4 linked regions of the Arabidopsis thaliana genome follow. The protein of the gene in region 4 interacts with the protein of the main gene of each other region in a pairwise test. Each region holds a gene or a part of one and is shown on either strand. Other genes may lie near its edges.

Region 1 (4,638 bases), 2.4 Mb from region 4:
CATAGAGTCTTCAGAAAAATTTATTGGTGTTTCCATGCATGCTTCTACACATTAGTTTCTTTTTGCAGGAGATTTGGACCCCACACAAAGTATTTTCACTACAAACACTATTCTTTCTCATTATTTTCCAACTTTTTCTGAATTGATCATAGGATTTTTGGTAAGCAACTTCCCTTCATATAGTAATTCTAACCACACGCAAAATTATTAAACCAAATTTCCGCAAGAAGATCATAAAAAACTGAATAAACAATTTAAACAAACATTGATGTACGAAGATAACATTTCTATCATATATGGTTTATATATAATAACCTACTAAAACAGCCAGGGATTGAAATTAAGCTCACTAGTTTTTATTTTCTTCACATAAAAAAAAAAACAAAATCACTATATCGGCAAGTTAAGTTTTCAATCATTAAAACCTAAAACTAACCACCCAACCCACCAATGATTAAAACTATATCCCAGTCCCAACTAATCACAAATTTAAGGTAAAGTGTGTTTGAATCATTTTTTAAGAATTTTAGACAAGCTTTTTCATTATTATCTTCCTTTTAGATAACTTACACATTTATATTAGCTTAATATTTTGTTTGTTTTAGTTTTTAGCTAAACCATATCATTCATGTAGAGAGAACCACCCTAACTGTTATGATCTATTCGACTCGTATTAATTCTCATCAATATAGCAAAATATTAGGATTGATCGATCCACATATTTCAGTTCACCCACTTTAATATATTTCAAAGACAGTTTGTAAACATTTATTACGGTTTTCGTAGATCTTGAGTATTTGAATAAATAATGATATGATTCTTTGTATCTTGTACAGTTGCTTATTTGAGTAGACATTAATTACAAATCAAATCTGTTAGCATAAAATATACATATATCGCCGTTTTTCTTCATTTGTAGGAAACCAAATAAAGAATAAAAGGCATATGGCACTGATGGACTAAACTGGCATAACTATGCTACGTGTTTAATTGGTACAAGTCGCTCAACCTGAGGAATCGAGAAGTTGTAGATGATCACTATGTGACATGTGTTGCACCGAAAAAGAGTGACTAGTGACGATTGACGATTCGTCAACCTTTTTCTCCGAAGATATCTCCAACGTTATGGTTAATCCCATGATTTGGTTTAAGTATACTTACCGTTCAGGTTTTATAGAAAATACTACTCGAGATTTGGAACGATCAGTAAATGTTATTCCAGATTTAATATAGTAGAAATTGTTTGTTTTCACTTTTCAAAAAGATGGTTTTCAAAATTTAATTCTTTTTAAAAATAAGAAAATTGATATAAACCTTTTCAATATTGTTACATTTATAGTCATTGTTTTGACATTAATGTTTTCATATTGAAAGCAAAAGGAAACAAGATGCAATATTTCGTATATCATGAGTTTTTCATTTTCTATAATATTTGATGAATTAGTCCAGAACCAGCCTGATCCTTGTAGTTCACATGGTTTGAGAGATCAGCTCCGGCTCATGGGTTCAAATTCAAGCAAGGAGAAGAAGAAAGGAGTTAAGACACAAGAGCCTAGCTAAACGACTATCGTCATGAACCCAAAACCGGATGCGGTTTAACAAAAACCGAAGGCGTCTCCACGTGGACAACAACTTAACACCTGAGCCTAACACGCGAATACATCGAAACACCGACACGTGTTCTGTCTTCCTCGTAAGCTTCTTTATGTTCAAAGTGTTCTCTCTTTCTCTCGGCCCCATGTATATAAAGCGGTGCTCTCTTGATCCACCGAAACGAATTTTGAAAAGATGACTGAAATCTACAGAACAATTTCAACCGGACGTGGAGACGACGTTTCTCCGACTAAATGCCGTGAACGTCGTCGTCGGAGAATTGAGATGCGGAGACAAGCGGCGGTTTTCGGCGAACCTAGTTCGTCTAGGAATCGTGATCGGACGGACATGGAAGTTTACTCAAGTTTTGACGTTCCATTGAGGAAACAAGCTCGGAGGTCAGAGATCGGTGGTCTTCCGGCGGATATCGGGGGCTTTTTGGCACCTCCGGCGGCATCTTCTTGCCAAAAATCGGAAGCGCCGGTGTGGAAGGGAGAAGAAACGGAGGATGAGCCGTTGTACGGTATAGTTTCGGTTATGGGAAGATCTCGTAAGATGGAGGATTCGGTTACTGTTAAACCGAATTTGTGCAAACCGGAAGTTAACCGGCAAAGACCGGTTCATTTCTTTGCGGTATACGATGGCCACGGCGGTTCTCAGGTAAGAAAATTAACCAGGGGTGGTTTGGTCATTTAATATAAAGATGCTGATGTGATGCGTGGACAGGTGTCAACATTGTGCAGCACGACTATGCACACGTTTGTCAAGGAGGAGCTAGAGCAAAACCTCGAAGAGGAGGAAGAAGGAAGCGAAAACGATGTCGTGGAGAGGAAATGGCGGGGCGTGATGAAACGGAGTTTCAAGAGGATGGATGAGATGGCAACGAGTACATGCGTGTGTGGGACTAGTGTGCCGTTGTGTAACTGTGATCCGAGGGAGGCTGCGATTTCGGGTTCAACGGCGGTCACTGCGGTTTTGACGCACGATCATATTATTGTAGCCAATACTGGTGACTCACGTGCGGTGTTGTGTCGAAATGGAATGGCTATTCCTCTGAGTAACGATCACAAGGTGGTGTTCTTGTAAAGGTTTGAGAATATTGGAGTTTCTATTTTGAAGTTGTTGAGTTTTTTGCAGCCGGATAGACCAGACGAGCGTGCGAGGATTGAAGCAGCTGGTGGTCGAGTTTTAGTAGTGGATGGAGCTAGAGTTGAAGGAATTCTAGCCACGTCCAGAGCCATAGGTATACCTTTCTCAATTCTCATATTGTAGTAAAAGATGATTTTAGTTGATAGTGTTGAAGATGGCAAGGAACTAGAGCCTATAAGGGCAATAATAATCATTTCGGATTTGGGGTTTAGGGTTTTAAGTTTACTAACTAAGGTACTATGGATTGGTTTCATTTGGTGCGAGTTCTTTTGTTGATTAATTCTAATTCTATTTTCAAAGATGTTTTATAATTGTTCCTTTAAAAAAAAAATATGTAAATTTTACTCTCTTTTTTTTGTCAAAATGTTAACTAGAAATTTTACATTGGTCCTAATAGTTTAACATTTGACAAAAAAAAAAAAAAACAAAAAAAATTATATTTGCAGCATTAACTAGAAAACAAAAATAATTGAATCATTTTACGAAAATAAAAAATGTGGGCATTCATACAAACCATCTCATGGATTAGAACGGGAGAAGTATTTTTCTTAACTTCAAAAGTATTTAAATGTGTCTTATCTTTGTATCTTTCATTGTTTGATCATTTAACCAACTTAAAATTTATTTCGGTTATACAATTTATTAGACTAAACATGAAGTTTTAGTATGGAAATTGTTCCTAATGTTGTGTTACAATTCATGGAGCAGGGGACAGGTATCTAAAACCAATGGTAGCATGGGAACCAGAAGTAACATTCATGAGAAGGGAATCTGGAGATGAATGCTTAGTATTAGCAAGCGATGGGCTTTGGGATGTACTCTCGAGTCAGCTAGCTTGTGACATAGCTAGGTTTTGTCTCCGCGAAGAAACTCCCTCGAGCCTTGATTTAAATAGAATGGCTCAAGAAGACGACAATGACGGAGAACAAAATCCTTCAAGGAGTGTATTGGCTGCAACGTTGCTAACGCGGTTGGCTTTGGGTAGACAAAGCAGTGATAATATAAGTGTGGTCGTCATTGATCTCAAGAATAGCTCTCAGTAAAACTAGTTTTGGATCCTTTTTTTGGTGGTTGTGCAATTAAGTGGTTAAACCAAAGAATAAGATGTTGATATAGCGATGAGCCTTAATTAGTTTTAGGGTTTAGCGCCCGTCTTTGTTTTGTTATGAATTGGGGTTACCAATACACATTAACACCGGCGAATGTGAAAGGAAAAGAGAGTTGTTTGGATATGGGCTACAAGGTTATTTAGTGGTTTGGCCATGGGCTATTAAGGGTATTTAGTGGTTTAAACAATAAAATAAAAGTTAACTTGAGAGAATTTGTTCTCTAATTTTGTTTGTTGTATGTGTGTGATCATTTTGAAGTTATTGATCGTTTAGCTATTTAGGTGGTATGTGTGAAATAAATAGATAAAATAAAAACGTAGTACTGCTTTGGTTTTGTTCGTTGTAGTTCATTAGACGCCGGTCTTGGTCTTTTATATTTTTTTGATGGACTGATCATTTCCAATGGTTAAAGTCATCTCTGTCTACAAATACTTACATTTTGGTACAACCTGAATGAAGTGAATTTAAGGCTGAGATTTTGAACCAGCCCTAACCCTACTCAACCGTGCAGTTTTATATTTGGTTCAACAATGCTATATAGGCTTTTGGGCCAATTACCAGATTGTCTTTACTCTTTAGGCTTTAAAGGAAAAAAAAAAGAGATGTGCAAAAGAATCAAAGAGAACAATTCAAGAAAGAGAGACAAAAAGACAACTCTTATAGTTCGATGGAAATGGAACAATTCGAACAGGTTTGACGAATACAGAGTTTTGGTCCTAAATAAAAGGGAGATCAAGAATCAAGAATTGTCTTTGAAGTAAAACAAAAAGCGTGAGATGGAGAATGT
Region 2 (4,570 bases), about 17 Mb from region 4:
GCTACATGATCTACGAGGTTGCGGAAGCGATTTTGGTTCCTGCTAAGGCAGCTTGTAAGGTTATTAACAGCCTGGTCACAGGATATTGCCACAGAGAAGCAGGCTCCCATCTCTCATAGATTCTCAAATTCCTACCAGAGAGATTAATATACAAATTCCTTTCCTAATGTTTTAGTTTATTAACTGAGGTGTGTGCACGATCATTCGGGTTGACCACCAATCTTGGCATCCAGTCATCTACGACTCGATCAAATATTTATGTTATTTTAAAAATGAACTGTAACCAAGATAACATTTTTTTCATAAGGTCAACGACCCTTGGGATGTTAACAGAGCCAAGTTTAGTGAGCACTATGTGCTCGTTTTTTCTTAACACAATTCTAACGTGGTTTGGCCAAGCCAAGTCAACATTTTACTTACATCTCGTTTTCCAATAATGGTTTTGTAATCGATAACCTAAATCATTGTAATGAATGCGTTCCTCCCTATCGATCCTAGGCCTTAGACAATGCTGAATGATTCATAGCCACGCGAATAACCTATTCATACTAATATGGAAAGAAAGAAGCCAAACTTACAGAGCTCTTCTCACGGTCGTCGAAGAAAAGAGAGTCTACAGTCAGCAACAAAATTAGTGTTGCCATCATGGCATCATCTTGCAGCTTTTTCCGCACAAATAATTTATCATCCAAATGTTGTTCACTAAACCAAAAACAAACAAGCATTACAGCGAAGAAACCAACTCGTAGATACAGATTTCCAAATTCATGCCTTATTTAGACCAATAAAAACTGAAATTTCTCTTCAGCGAAAAAAAAAACAAACAAACTGAAATTTCATATAGATCCAGAAGATAGAAACTTGTAGGCTCAATCGACTAGACTAGAAGATGCTCACCCGATCGTGCTTGAGATAGCGAGATAGTAGCAACACCGACGGTAGAAATAAAATGGACGACACCCATCCAATGGGCTAATTTAGATTAACGGGCTTTAAGGGTTTGATAATGGATGTTAATTAACTGAGGCACATGGGATTGTATCACGTAGGCAATGGGTTTGATAATGGATGTTAAGTAACTAAGGCCCATGAGGTTGAAGTACGTAGGCAATTGCGTGAGCTTACGTTAGCGATGCCGTTAGAGACACGTAGTGGATGAAGTGGCTTTGGTTAGCAAAGGACACATGAGGCACATGCAAAGGCTATAAATGACTGCTGCTTTGCTACAACTTGCGATTCCCAAATTTTATAAGGTAATGGACCCTATCACCTCTGCTCGAAGCTAAGCCACCCAAGTTTGAGCTTCACCATTTGACACGTCTCTAGCTAATACTTAATGCTTAAACTTTAAACTAATACTTCATGTTTAAGACATTTCTGGCTGACACATTTATGAATTCGCTCTATGTCGTACGTACACCGGAAACCTTTAATTTTACAATATTAACCGTGATCTTTTTAAAAATATCTATATAAACGATAAGTATCTCATCAAAACAAAATTGAATAATGTGCACGTTTGTAAAAACTAGAAAAACAGGCAATAAACATCATCATCCAATTACACATCTAGTAAGTGTGATGCAGTGGCAAACTGGCAATAAACCAAGAAAAATCGAGAAAGAGCAGATGAGACAGTGTTGTGTTGTCAGGGTTAATAAAAAAAAAATGAAGATATTTTAAAATTTCATAATATTTAAATAATGAAGTAGTTTTATGATCTTATCCATAAATCAATTTTAAAAAGGTTTAAACTTTACTTTTCCGTATCAACAGCGTGTTTCGAGAAGATTCGGGAGGACACTCGTCGAACGGAAAAGTCGTCTAAGCCTTTATGTTCGAATCAAAAACTGACACGTAACCTTGCTCTCAAACAGAAAAATAAAATAATGTTAGAAAAATCTAGAGAAGGCTATAAATACTCCGTAGATACTTTGTCTTCCTTAGATATTTTGATTTCTGCTAAAGCTGTCTGATAAAAAGAAGAGGAAAACTCGAAAAAGCTACACACAAGAAGAAGAAGAAAAGATACGAGCAAGAAGACTAAACACGAAAGCGATTTATCAACTCGAAGGAAGAGACTTTGATTTTCAAATTTCGTCCCCTATAGGTACGTTGATTTCTGATTTCTTACAAATTTTCAATTAATTTCTCTGATTAGGTCTCGTCAATTGGTGATTCTAGGGTTTATCTTCGTCTTTAGGTTTTCGATTATTTCCTTTTAGGTATAGCTGTGAAATTGGGAAATTTTAGGTGTTCCTAATTTGATAACAAATAAGTAAATCGATCTGATTTTGAACCAAGTTTAAGTTCTCTTGCCTTATGTTTCAGCTTGTGTTCTGATATTGAAGTGTTGTTGTATTGTAGATTGTGTTGTTTCTGGGAAGGAGATGGCAGTTTATGATCAGAGTGGAGATAGAAACAGAACACAAATTGATACATCGAGGAAAAGGAAATCTAGAAGTAGAGGTGACGGTACTACTGTGGCTGAGAGATTAAAGAGATGGAAAGAGTATAACGAGACCGTAGAAGAAGTTTCTACCAAGAAGAGGAAAGTACCTGCGAAAGGGTCGAAGAAGGGTTGTATGAAAGGTAAAGGAGGACCAGAGAATAGCCGATGTAGTTTCAGAGGAGTTAGGCAAAGGATTTGGGGTAAATGGGTTGCTGAGATCAGAGAGCCTAATCGAGGTAGCAGGCTTTGGCTTGGTACTTTCCCTACTGCTCAAGAAGCTGCTTCTGCTTATGATGAGGCTGCTAAAGCTATGTATGGTCCTTTGGCTCGTCTTAATTTCCCTCGGTCTGATGCGTCTGAGGTTACGAGTACCTCAAGTCAGTCTGAGGTGTGTACTGTTGAGACTCCTGGTTGTGTTCATGTGAAAACAGAGGATCCAGATTGTGAATCTAAACCCTTCTCCGGTGGAGTGGAGCCGATGTATTGTCTGGAGAATGGTGCGGAAGAGATGAAGAGAGGTGTTAAAGCGGATAAGCATTGGCTGAGCGAGTTTGAACATAACTATTGGAGTGATATTCTGAAAGAGAAAGAGAAACAGAAGGAGCAAGGGATTGTAGAAACCTGTCAGCAACAACAGCAGGATTCGCTATCTGTTGCAGACTATGGTTGGCCCAATGATGTGGATCAGAGTCACTTGGATTCTTCAGACATGTTTGATGTCGATGAGCTTCTACGTGACCTAAATGGCGACGATGTGTTTGCAGGCTTAAATCAGGACCGGTACCCGGGGAACAGTGTTGCCAACGGTTCATACAGGCCCGAGAGTCAACAAAGTGGTTTTGATCCGCTACAAAGCCTCAACTACGGAATACCTCCGTTTCAGCTCGAGGGAAAGGATGGTAATGGATTCTTCGACGACTTGAGTTACTTGGATCTGGAGAACTAAACAAAACAATATGAAGCTTTTTGGATTTGATATTTGCCTTAATCCCACAACGACTGTTGATTCTCTATCCGAGTTTTAGTGATATAGAGAACTACAGAACACGTTTTTTCTTGTTATAAAGGTGAACTGTATATATCGAAACAGTGATATGACAATAGAGAAGACAACTATAGTTTGTTAGTCTGCTTCTCTTAAGTTGTTCTTTAGATATGTTTTATGTTTTGTAACAACAGGAATGAATAATACACACTTGTGAAGCTTTATGGGCCTTAGTGTGTCTCACAATATTTGAAATCGTAAGAGGAAAAACTATACGATCTCCACAAAAAAACTCATCATTGGATTGAGTCTTAGGAAGTTCTCTAGGGATTAGAGGGCAGCTTTATTTAACATTAAGCAGCTCGACATCAAAGACCAGCCAAGAGTCAGGGGGAATGCTACCAGCACCTTCCGCACCATACCTGTGAGCCAGACAATTTTATCATCTCTCATTAAAAAAAGCTTAAAATAAAACATCACATTATGGAAAAATAAAAAAAGATTTGCAAAGGCTTTACCCCATTTCTGGAGGAATTGTAAGCTTTCTTTTGCCACCAACAAGCATTCCTTTAGAAATTTACAAAAAGAGATCAAAACAACACACCATTTGACCATATTTAGTGAAGAAAAACCAGTAAGAAACTAGCTAGGTTACCATTAAGGCCAACATCCAATCCCTTAATGACTTTTCCAGCATCTGTATGTGTAACAGCAAGCACATAAGTATCCAAGTACCACTCACACATTAATAAAGCTCTTACTTTCGCATCAAGTTATAATACCAACCTAGACGAAACTTATAACGTGATTTTCCAACGGTGGAATCGAAAATCTTCCCATTCCCCTGAAGCTTTCCAGTATAATGGACACTTACCTGCACTCAGAGACAATAGACTGACCTCCAACAAATATTTGCACACAAACTACAACAGTTTAGGACTAAATGCTCATACCCTTTTGCCAGGCTCAGCTTTCTTGCCGTTGGGGTTTCCCATGCATAACTCTTCAACAATGAGGCCATCTAGGTCAGGCGTTTGCTTCTCAACACTAATAGAAAAGGCTTTACTCTCCACTGTAGCTTCCTCACTTATCTTCTCATTCTTCTTAGCAGATTCAGATGGGGACATGGAGCT
Region 3 (4,415 bases), on a different chromosome or scaffold from region 4:
CAATTAGCTTCTTTTTTTTACAGTTGAGACTTGAGAGACACATTAAAGCTTGTCATCGTTCACTGGAGAGAGTAGAGTGTGTGAGAGACAAAGTGACCTAACTTCACTGCAACAGTAGTCGGTAAATATCCAAACATAAGAGCTACGATGGTAACACGTGTACGGTGGAGGAAAAGAGAGCCCTCAGATTCCGTTATAAAGGAGGTGAGACCCACTCGCCGGAATGGAAACAAAGGAGAAACGTAGAGGTAAATGGTTGGGCCACTGCTTCACCAAAAAGCCTTTTCTATCTTCTTTTTATTTTTGTTTTGTGGCTTTTAACGGTTAACAATATAACTCCTCATTCCAAGACAATTACGTGTCCTCTGTACGGCTTTTTCATTTTTCACTTTCTACTTCATAGTGACTTTAGGGAGGCCTCAATTTTTAATTACTCGAGGATTATTTAGGTAATCATGAATGTAACTACAGCTTTACAGGTAATTAAACAGATGAGATTTAGTTGCGTGAAATCTAGCTGATCTGGTGCTTATATCAAATCCAATTGATGGAGACAGATTTGGACTTAAATTCATGATTGTATTTGTAATCTTATATACGTTATAGTTAAATTTCTTTCTCTCCGTACGTACTCTAACTATAATTATTATTAAATGCTGAACGCAATGCTTTTGAGTGCTGAGAATCTTTTTGGTCTGATTCAAAAATGATGTATTAGTACTCTGAATTCAATCTTAACTTCTGCAACGAATCAATGTATTAATTTATAGGAGATCCGGATAAAATTATGGATATATGCACGCTACTTCTTTCATTTTTAATTAGGTAAATGGTTATAACTTTATTTTATATATCAATTAAATGATTTTGGTATGAGATTACTAGTACACTTTCTTTGCAAATGTTTTAAACACGACAAGACAAAAATATTACAAGCATATTTTGGTAAAAAATATCATAAGCTTTCATATCAAAATCATTAGTTATGATGTTAGATTTTTTTTTTTTTTTTTTAACACTACAAAAAGCTCTGGTCTTAATATGTTAGAAATTTTAGTCCAAACCAGCCTACAGAGGATTTAGCTAAACAATTCCCAAGCACCTTTTAAGTGTTAACCGAAATAACGTAATATGATGTTAAAGGTTACATAAAAACAAAACTAAAGAATTTTCATATGAAAAGTTAACGTACGTGTCTTAGTGTAACCTAATTTTAGTTCACAGTATATAAATTCTTTAATGAGATGATCGCAAAATCGCTGTATACAATTTCGTACTTAATTCGTTAGTCTTGAAAAGTTGACCTAATTTAGATCAAATTAAGGTTAACTACAATAAAAATTTAACTAACGTAATGGGATTCTTTAAAATTAAAAAATCGTTGATTAGATAGATATTTTATCTTTAAGGGAGACACAGAGACAATTTGGACAAAAAAGGTCTTCCTGAGAAAGAAGTGGACCACAATCGTGGCGCGAAAGGAACTTCCTCCTCCCCTCTGTTGCCTTGTCATTGGGCCACGTATATCTCCACCTGATCGTGATGCTTACGTGGTCCATTTCTAGATACTATAGTGACCAGATCAACGGTCAAGATTGATTCTAATTTAGACGAAAGACCAACACGTCACGTCGCTAGAGTAAAAGATTTTTTGAAGGCGGAGGGAGAAAAATCAAAAGTTAAAAGTAATTTGAAAACGAGGAAGAGAAAAAGGAATTTTAAAATGTTTAATGAAGCGGTAGGCCGCATGGGTATATAAATGGGCACGCTTTGTAACGTGTAACGATGATATTTATTCAACTGCGTGGTATAACCAAAAAAAAAAGAAACACTATTCGACTCTTTTTTTGTTTTTGTAATAAACATAAAATAAATTTTGGAGAGAGATATTTCGTCGGAAATTAATTGACGTTCAAAAGATTCGTTACCGGAATATTTAGTAGAGGCGGCGATCGAGTTATGGCGGATATTTGTTATGAAGACGAGACGTCGGCTTGTGAATCAAGACCGTTGTGGTCTAGCCGGAAGTGGAGGATCGGTGTCCAGCGATTCAGGATGTCTCCGTCGGAGATGAATCCCACGGCGTCGACGACGGAGGAGGAGGATAAATCTGAAGGGATTTATAATAAGCGAAATAAACAAGAAGAGTACGATTTTATGAACTGTGCATCGTCGTCACCTTCTCAAAGCTCTCCTGAAGAAGAGAGTGTATCACTTGAAGACAGTGACGTCTCTATCTCCGATGGAAATTCATCGGTTAATGATGTTGCAGTTATTCCGTCGAAGAAGACGGTTAAAGAGACGGATCTGAGGCCGAGATACGGCGTCGCATCGGTGTGCGGGAGAAGAAGAGATATGGAAGATGCGGTTGCGTTACATCCGTCTTTTGTACGGAAACAAACGGAGTTTTCTCGAACAAGATGGCACTATTTTGGTGTTTACGACGGCCATGGCTGTTCTCACGTACGACGCCGTTTTACCCTAATTTGAAAATTTCAAAATTATTGATATATTTACGGTTTTGCCTGATTGAAATATACGATGTCGTTTTTGTAGGTTGCGGCTAGGTGTAAAGAGAGACTTCACGAGTTAGTGCAAGAAGAAGCGTTGTCGGATAAGAAAGAAGAATGGAAGAAGATGATGGAGCGTAGCTTCACACGTATGGACAAAGAGGTTGTTCGTTGGGGTGAAACTGTGATGAGTGCTAATTGTAGGTGTGAGCTTCAAACGCCGGACTGTGACGCTGTTGGATCCACCGCCGTTGTCTCCGTCATTACGCCGGAGAAGATCATTGTTGCGAATTGCGGTGACTCAAGAGCAGTTCTTTGTAGGAATGGTAAAGCAGTACCTCTTTCTACAGATCATAAGGTCAGTCTTTATCTCTTTCTAACTCTTTCTTGATTTGTTTGATTTAGTGGATTTTAACTCTTGTTTACGTTTGAAAATGAACAGCCTGATCGTCCGGATGAGCTGGATCGAATCCAAGAAGCAGGAGGACGAGTGATATACTGGGACGGTGCAAGAGTCTTAGGCGTTTTAGCCATGTCACGAGCCATAGGAGACAATTATTTAAAACCGTACGTCACTTCGGAGCCGGAAGTGACGGTTACGGATCGGACTGAGGAAGATGAGTTTCTGATTCTAGCGACGGACGGGCTATGGGACGTAGTGACGAACGAGGCAGCGTGTACGATGGTGCGCATGTGTCTCAACAGAAAAAGTGGTCGTGGAAGACGGCGAGGAGAAACACAGACTCCGGGGAGGAGGAGTGAAGAAGAAGGGAAAGAAGAAGAGGAGAAGGTGGTGGGGTCAAGAAAGAACGGGAAGAGAGGAGAGATCACGGACAAAGCATGTACGGAGGCGTCAGTATTGCTGACGAAGCTGGCGTTGGCAAAACACAGTAGTGACAACGTAAGCGTCGTCGTTATTGATCTCAGAAGAAGAAGAAAGAGACACGTTGCTTGACACTAATCTCCTCATCACTCTTACTCCACCGTTTTTTGTGTTGTTTAAAATGATTCTTTTACCTTGGGACGAAGGTAGCTCAAATCTTTGAACCCAAAAGAGAGAAAAAAAAAGCATTAGGTCTAAAAAAAAAACCCCGGTTTACTGAAAGCGGTTAAACCGGGTATGGTTGGGTCTTTTTTGTTCTGAACCTTTTTTTCTTGCCTTTTTTCGGTGTGTAATGAACAAACAGAAAAGGAAGCCGGAATGTGTCACTGTCTAGGTGGAATCAGTTCAGAATTCAATTAATAAAAAAGTATGTATATGTTTTCTTGGCTTTTAAAGCAAACCAATTAACTCGGATACGCGTGGTGATCTTTGAGAACATCACCGGGAATTTTCAGTTTGTTGATAAAGATTTTAAAATCTCTATAAACGAGTGGGCCTTTTTGGTGTTGGAAGAAATTCAAAATCTCACGGAAACGAAAAGAGAGAGAAGATAATTGGGAAGAGGACGGAGTACGTGTCGAAGAGGTAAAAGTAGAAACCCTACACCACGTAAAGAGGATGTGACACACCGGAACGATGCATATGTTAATATGCGCATTCGTACGTGTCGGTGTCGGTGTCGGGTAATTGATTGAGATCTGAATATGAACCTAATCAGACTGTTTTATCTAAACATGATCACTGGTCTGATGGAAAATCAAAATTAACTTACCTGTCATGTAATGTAAGAATTTTATTAAGAAGGAAAATCGAACCAACACTCCCAAAGCATTTGGGCCGAGAATTTTGGGGTATTATATTTTCATCTGAATCCTATAAGGCTATAACCTACCCAAAAATTTGGTAGCGCAACATCTAAACTTGATACAGAAAAATGAGACAAGGATATATTAAGCTTCAAATAGATGACCCATACAAAATGTTTTAATTGCCCAACCTAAACACATACTGAGTTGAAGTAC
Region 4 (4,443 bases):
TAAATAAAAGATAAGGTCATATGTCATCATAACCTGAGCCTAAAGGTAACGACTAACGACAACCGTGACATACTTTTTCATTAAGCACGTTACACGACGAGACTAGCGTAGTACGTGTCGAACTATCCTCATACGTGTTTGATTCACTGCTATAAATAGAACCAATAATAACGATGTTAATATTTGGTTCTTAATCAAGATATTGTGGACCGCTTGTCCATAATTCCCTCGGAAAACCAAAACAGGTATTATATTCAAGATTCGACCTCGTGATTTTGAGGTGCATTATTTTTTGTAGAAGATTTCCATCTTCTTTTTTTCACGGCTCTCAAAGGTTTCCTTGTACACAAGTTACACTACACTGAATAATTTTCTTTATTGCATCCTTTAAACAAACTTTTGTATATTATTTTGATATTGAAATCCACCATATATATGTCTTTTTTTCTCTGTCGCTTCCTATTTGATGCATGTGAATAATTTTCACTACTATATAACCAGTTTTCTAATCATTTTCTCCGTAGTAAAAGACAAAAGTAAATTAACGAAGCTCGTTATAATAATTTAGTACTTACCAAAAAACGTCCAAAAGTTGGAGATAACTCGTTTCCAAGATATTCTACACCTCTTCTTAAGTCTCTGATCCCCAAAGAATAATAATTATTTATACGAAAATATATATAAATATAACATACTGTACAATCCGCTGTCTCAGGACATCCAAAAAAATCATTTATATCAGTAACAAAAAAAACATATCGTGAATATTAAAAAATCATCAAATAAGTGATACCAATGAATTAGTTGTTAACCACAGTGATTTAAAAGACTGATATTTTAATTGATGAATCCTAGGAATGAAAAGTTGATAATTGTATGATCTAATCTCCAATTTCTTTCCTCTTTAAAGAGGTAAAATTGCCACATGGAACATTTAACACCATTCTGAATTTCTGATTCCAGGAACGTTGTCGTATCATATCTACTCGTGTAAGTCTTAGATCGATTTAGAACTTAGAAGAACAACACTTCTTGTTTTATCCTAATTAATACTATAATATATGCATGTAAAATCTTGTTTTTTCTATATCGGGTCAATGTGAATTGATATATTAGTTTGTGAGTGTGTCGGCTTCCGTAACTTACAGGAAGGGTTTTTACTTTTCTTTTTCAGATAATTAATGAAGAAGAAGAAAATACAACCAAATTTACACAAAAATAATGGCAAATTAAACTATTTTGGAACAACAACTCGCACTCTCTATTAGTCCTCCACGTAATGCATGCATGCGTTATTTCTTTTATTTCCTCGGAAAGCACGTACTAATCTTCCAACTTTCAATACTAATACTCGTTTTAATATGTGTCCAAGTAAACATTTTCTGTCCAAGTTCATTTTCAACTTTTGAGTTGTCAATGTTTCTATTTTTCCTCTTTATTTTTGACATTTGTCATTGTTTCCCTATATTAAATTTAAACGATAATAATTTGGTTCGGTTAATATAACGCTACTAAATATATATTTAGAAGAAAATTTAATTGTTTAATCATAATTCAGTTTATTCGACATTTTTATCCATAAGTATTATAATGTATAGTATTATTTTTAGAGATAATCATTAATCAGAGAATAAAATATAATTCTGGTCCATTTAACTTTTAACTATATATAAACCCAATGAAATGAAAACAAAAACACACAAAACACAAACACGCAAACCAAAAGAGATCAAACCAATAATCAAAATACTCCTCATTATATCAGAAAAAAAAAAAAAAATGGGATCTTCATCAAAGAACATCGAACAAGCTCAAGATTCTTATCTCGAGTGGATGAGTTTGCAATCTCAACGCATCCCTGAGCTCAAACAACTCTTAGCTCAACGACGATCTCACGGTGATGAAGATAATGATAACAAGCTTCGTAAGTTAACGGGAAAAATCATCGGTGATTTCAAAAATTACGCCGCAAAAAGAGCTGATCTTGCTCACCGATGTAGCTCGAACTATTATGCACCCACGTGGAACAGTCCTTTAGAGAACGCTCTAATTTGGATGGGTGGTTGTCGACCATCTTCTTTCTTTAGGCTCGTTTATGCTTTGTGTGGGTCACAAACTGAGATCCGTGTGACTCAGTTTCTCCGCAACATCGACGGCTACGAATCTTCAGGTAAGGGTTTGGACGTTTTCGGTTATTTCGGTTTTGAGGAATAAAAAAATAGACTAAATTTAATTTTTTGGTTCGGTAGTCAGTACGGTGCGGCAAAAAATTTTATTGTCTTCCTTCCGATTTCTAAAATTTATTTATTCTGTTCATTTTGCTTATGACAAAAATAATAGATTCTTAGGTTTTATATTAAGTTGGGTTCGGTTTGAATTTGGAATTTGTTCAGTTCTATATATTATACAAATATATTATTATTTTTAAATAAAATTAATCATAAAAAATGATTCCGAACCATAGATCTATACCAAAATTCTAATGGTTTCGGTTCGGTTGGTTCAATATGGTTTGGTTTGACAGGTGGTGGCGGCGGTGCATCACTTAGCGACTTAAGTGCGGAGCAGCTAGCTAAAATCAATGTGTTGCATGTAAAAATTATAGACGAAGAAGAGAAGATGACCAAGAAAGTCTCAAGCCTACAAGAAGACGCAGCGGATATTCCCATCGCCACTGTGGCTTACGAGATGGAGAATGTCGGAGAGCCTAACGTAGTGGTGGATCAAGCTCTCGACAAGCAAGAAGAAGCTATGGCTCGTTTATTGGTCGAGGCCGATAATCTAAGGGTTGATACTTTAGCGAAGATCCTCGGGATTCTATCTCCGGTACAAGGAGCGGATTTCTTGCTCGCTGGGAAAAAGCTTCATCTTTCGATGCATGAGTGGGGAACTATGAGAGATCGTCGCCGTCGTGACTGTATGGTTGACACCGAAGGTAATGCCGGAGGAGAGGAAGGAAAGTAGTCGTTATTATATTAGATATGATACTATAGGTACGTACGTGTCATATTTAAAATTGCATAATAACAAGGTTTTCAATCTTGATATTATAAAGTTATATATTTGGCATATATTCTAGGGATATATAACCCGTATGTGTGTTACTTTTATTTTCTGAAGACTTATGGTAGCAAGGTGCAATGCGTTATGTTAGTTTATATTATAAATAATTAAGATTTTGCTTTGTATAAGATGGATCTTTTGTTTTTTATTAAATGCAGAAATATAGTTTTATATATAATCTTATATAATAATTATTGTTTCGTTATAAGATTGTAGTTTGTAAGGATAAAAAATAACCTTTTTTTTGGTTAATGGATAAGAAATCATTTATAAGTTACATTTTGATGTTTTAAATTTTATCACTTATCGAAGATATATTTGAATTATTCTATTTTTTATAGTTTATTCACGTCGTGGCATTTTGCGAAATACAGTAATATTCGATGCATGTACAACTGTGAATAGTGGCCCACGCCCCACGGAGACGACAAATAATGAGAGAAATTGAGATTTGTGTGTTTACGTGGCAGCAACATGATCTCGTCTCGACAAGTCAGCTAGGAGATTTTTATCCAAGATTGCATTGGATTTTTATATTCTTAGATTTTTCCATTATTATTTTGTGTGGTAGGGAATATTCATAAAGAAAATTGTGGAGTATCTAAATAAATTGTTGGAAGCATCCTTTTTTTTTCATTGAACGCATCCTTTTTTTTTATGGACTTGGCAGATTTGGTAAAAATAAGAGTTCTAGTTTCGAAAATTCAACTGTATCTATATTAACTTAATTTATATCAAACTTAACTCATTAAACCTAACCAAGCTCTATACTTGAGATAAGATTCCACAACATTTCAAGTATTCATAGTGGTGAAATGTACTATAGGGTTAAAGTTTGGATCGCGATTAGTAAGCTCTTTAACTTTAAAATAACATTAAACCTAAGTAACCACTTCATGGTGGAATAATGTTTACATGATTCATTCTATAAATTGATTTGAGTCTCTTCAATGCGATTTGATAACTTAAAATATCTTAATCGCCAAGAATACTAGTTTTTCTACAGATAGCAAGAGATCAAATCTAATCATTCAAATGAAAATAACACTCTAAAACCTACAAAAACACTTCTTATAACTGTAAAAATATATTGCAATCTACCTAGATGACACAATTCTAGATGCCCCCATGAACATGATCAACTTTTCTATGTTTCATATTTATTTATTCCTCAGTGATTGCCTCCCTGGGTTTGTAGTGGGTCGGGCCGAGTAAAAATTGGCCGATGTTAACAATCATATCCATATCTGTATTTGCAACTCCAAGATTTATCCTCCACTTATTTTCGTATCATGACATTTTATGCGACAACTCTTATTTTGAATCATGATTCTTAAGATTTACAGACAGGACCGGCATTGAAGTCCACATATATTTGTA

Evidence for each region.
Region 1: the proteins of DOG1 (region 4) and AHG1 interact in binary tests that used the Arabidopsis thaliana proteins (3 or more experiments, as listed by UniProt).
Region 2: the proteins of DOG1 (region 4) and DREB2A interact in binary tests that used the Arabidopsis thaliana proteins (3 or more experiments, as listed by UniProt).
Region 3: the proteins of DOG1 (region 4) and HAI2 interact in binary tests that used the Arabidopsis thaliana proteins (3 or more experiments, as listed by UniProt).

Annotation. Positions count from the first base shown.
Region 1 is NC_003076.8:21,025,128-21,029,765, forward strand, and holds AHG1 (Protein phosphatase 2C family protein), read left to right. Parts: upstream 1-1,747; 5' UTR 1,748-1,788; coding exon 1,789-2,253; intron 2,254-2,319; coding exon 2,320-2,664; intron 2,665-2,730; coding exon 2,731-2,836; intron 2,837-3,450; coding exon 3,451-3,785; 3' UTR 3,786-4,061; downstream 4,062-4,638. UniProt on the Arabidopsis thaliana protein: Negative regulator of abscisic acid (ABA) responses during seed germination.
Region 2 is NC_003076.8:1,600,260-1,604,829, forward strand, and holds DREB2A (DRE-binding protein 2A), read left to right. Parts: upstream 1-1,945; 5' UTR 1,946-2,110; intron 2,111-2,367; 5' UTR 2,368-2,390; coding exon 2,391-3,398; 3' UTR 3,399-3,780; downstream 3,781-4,570. Other genes in the region: AT5G05400 (LRR and NB-ARC domains-containing disease resistance protein), read right to left, coding at 1-110; AT5G05420 (FKBP-like peptidyl-prolyl cis-trans isomerase family protein), read right to left, coding at 3,781-3,859, 3,956-4,004, 4,093-4,134, 4,224-4,311, 4,391-4,564. UniProt on the Arabidopsis thaliana protein: Transcriptional activator that binds specifically to the DNA sequence 5'-[AG]CCGAC-3'. Binding to the C-repeat/DRE element mediates high salinity- and dehydration-inducible transcription.
Region 3 is NC_003070.9:2,280,201-2,284,615, reverse strand, and holds HAI2 (highly ABA-induced PP2C protein 2), read left to right. Parts: upstream 1-1,787; 5' UTR 1,788-1,959; coding exon 1,960-2,463; intron 2,464-2,556; coding exon 2,557-2,868; intron 2,869-2,952; coding exon 2,953-3,465; 3' UTR 3,466-3,870; downstream 3,871-4,415. UniProt on the Arabidopsis thaliana protein: Involved in the negative regulation of the K(+) potassium channel AKT1 by its dephosphorylation, antagonistically to CIPK proteins (e.g. CIPK23). Functions as a positive regulator of abscisic acid-mediated cell signaling during seedling growth.
Region 4 is NC_003076.8:18,588,737-18,593,179, reverse strand, and holds DOG1 (delay of germination 1), read left to right. Parts: upstream 1-1,673; 5' UTR 1,674-1,683; coding exon 1,684-2,170; intron 2,171-2,524; coding exon 2,525-2,935; coding exon of another isoform or gene 2,936-2,964; exon of another isoform or gene 2,965-3,437; coding exon 3,438-3,511; 3' UTR 3,512-3,742; downstream 3,743-4,443.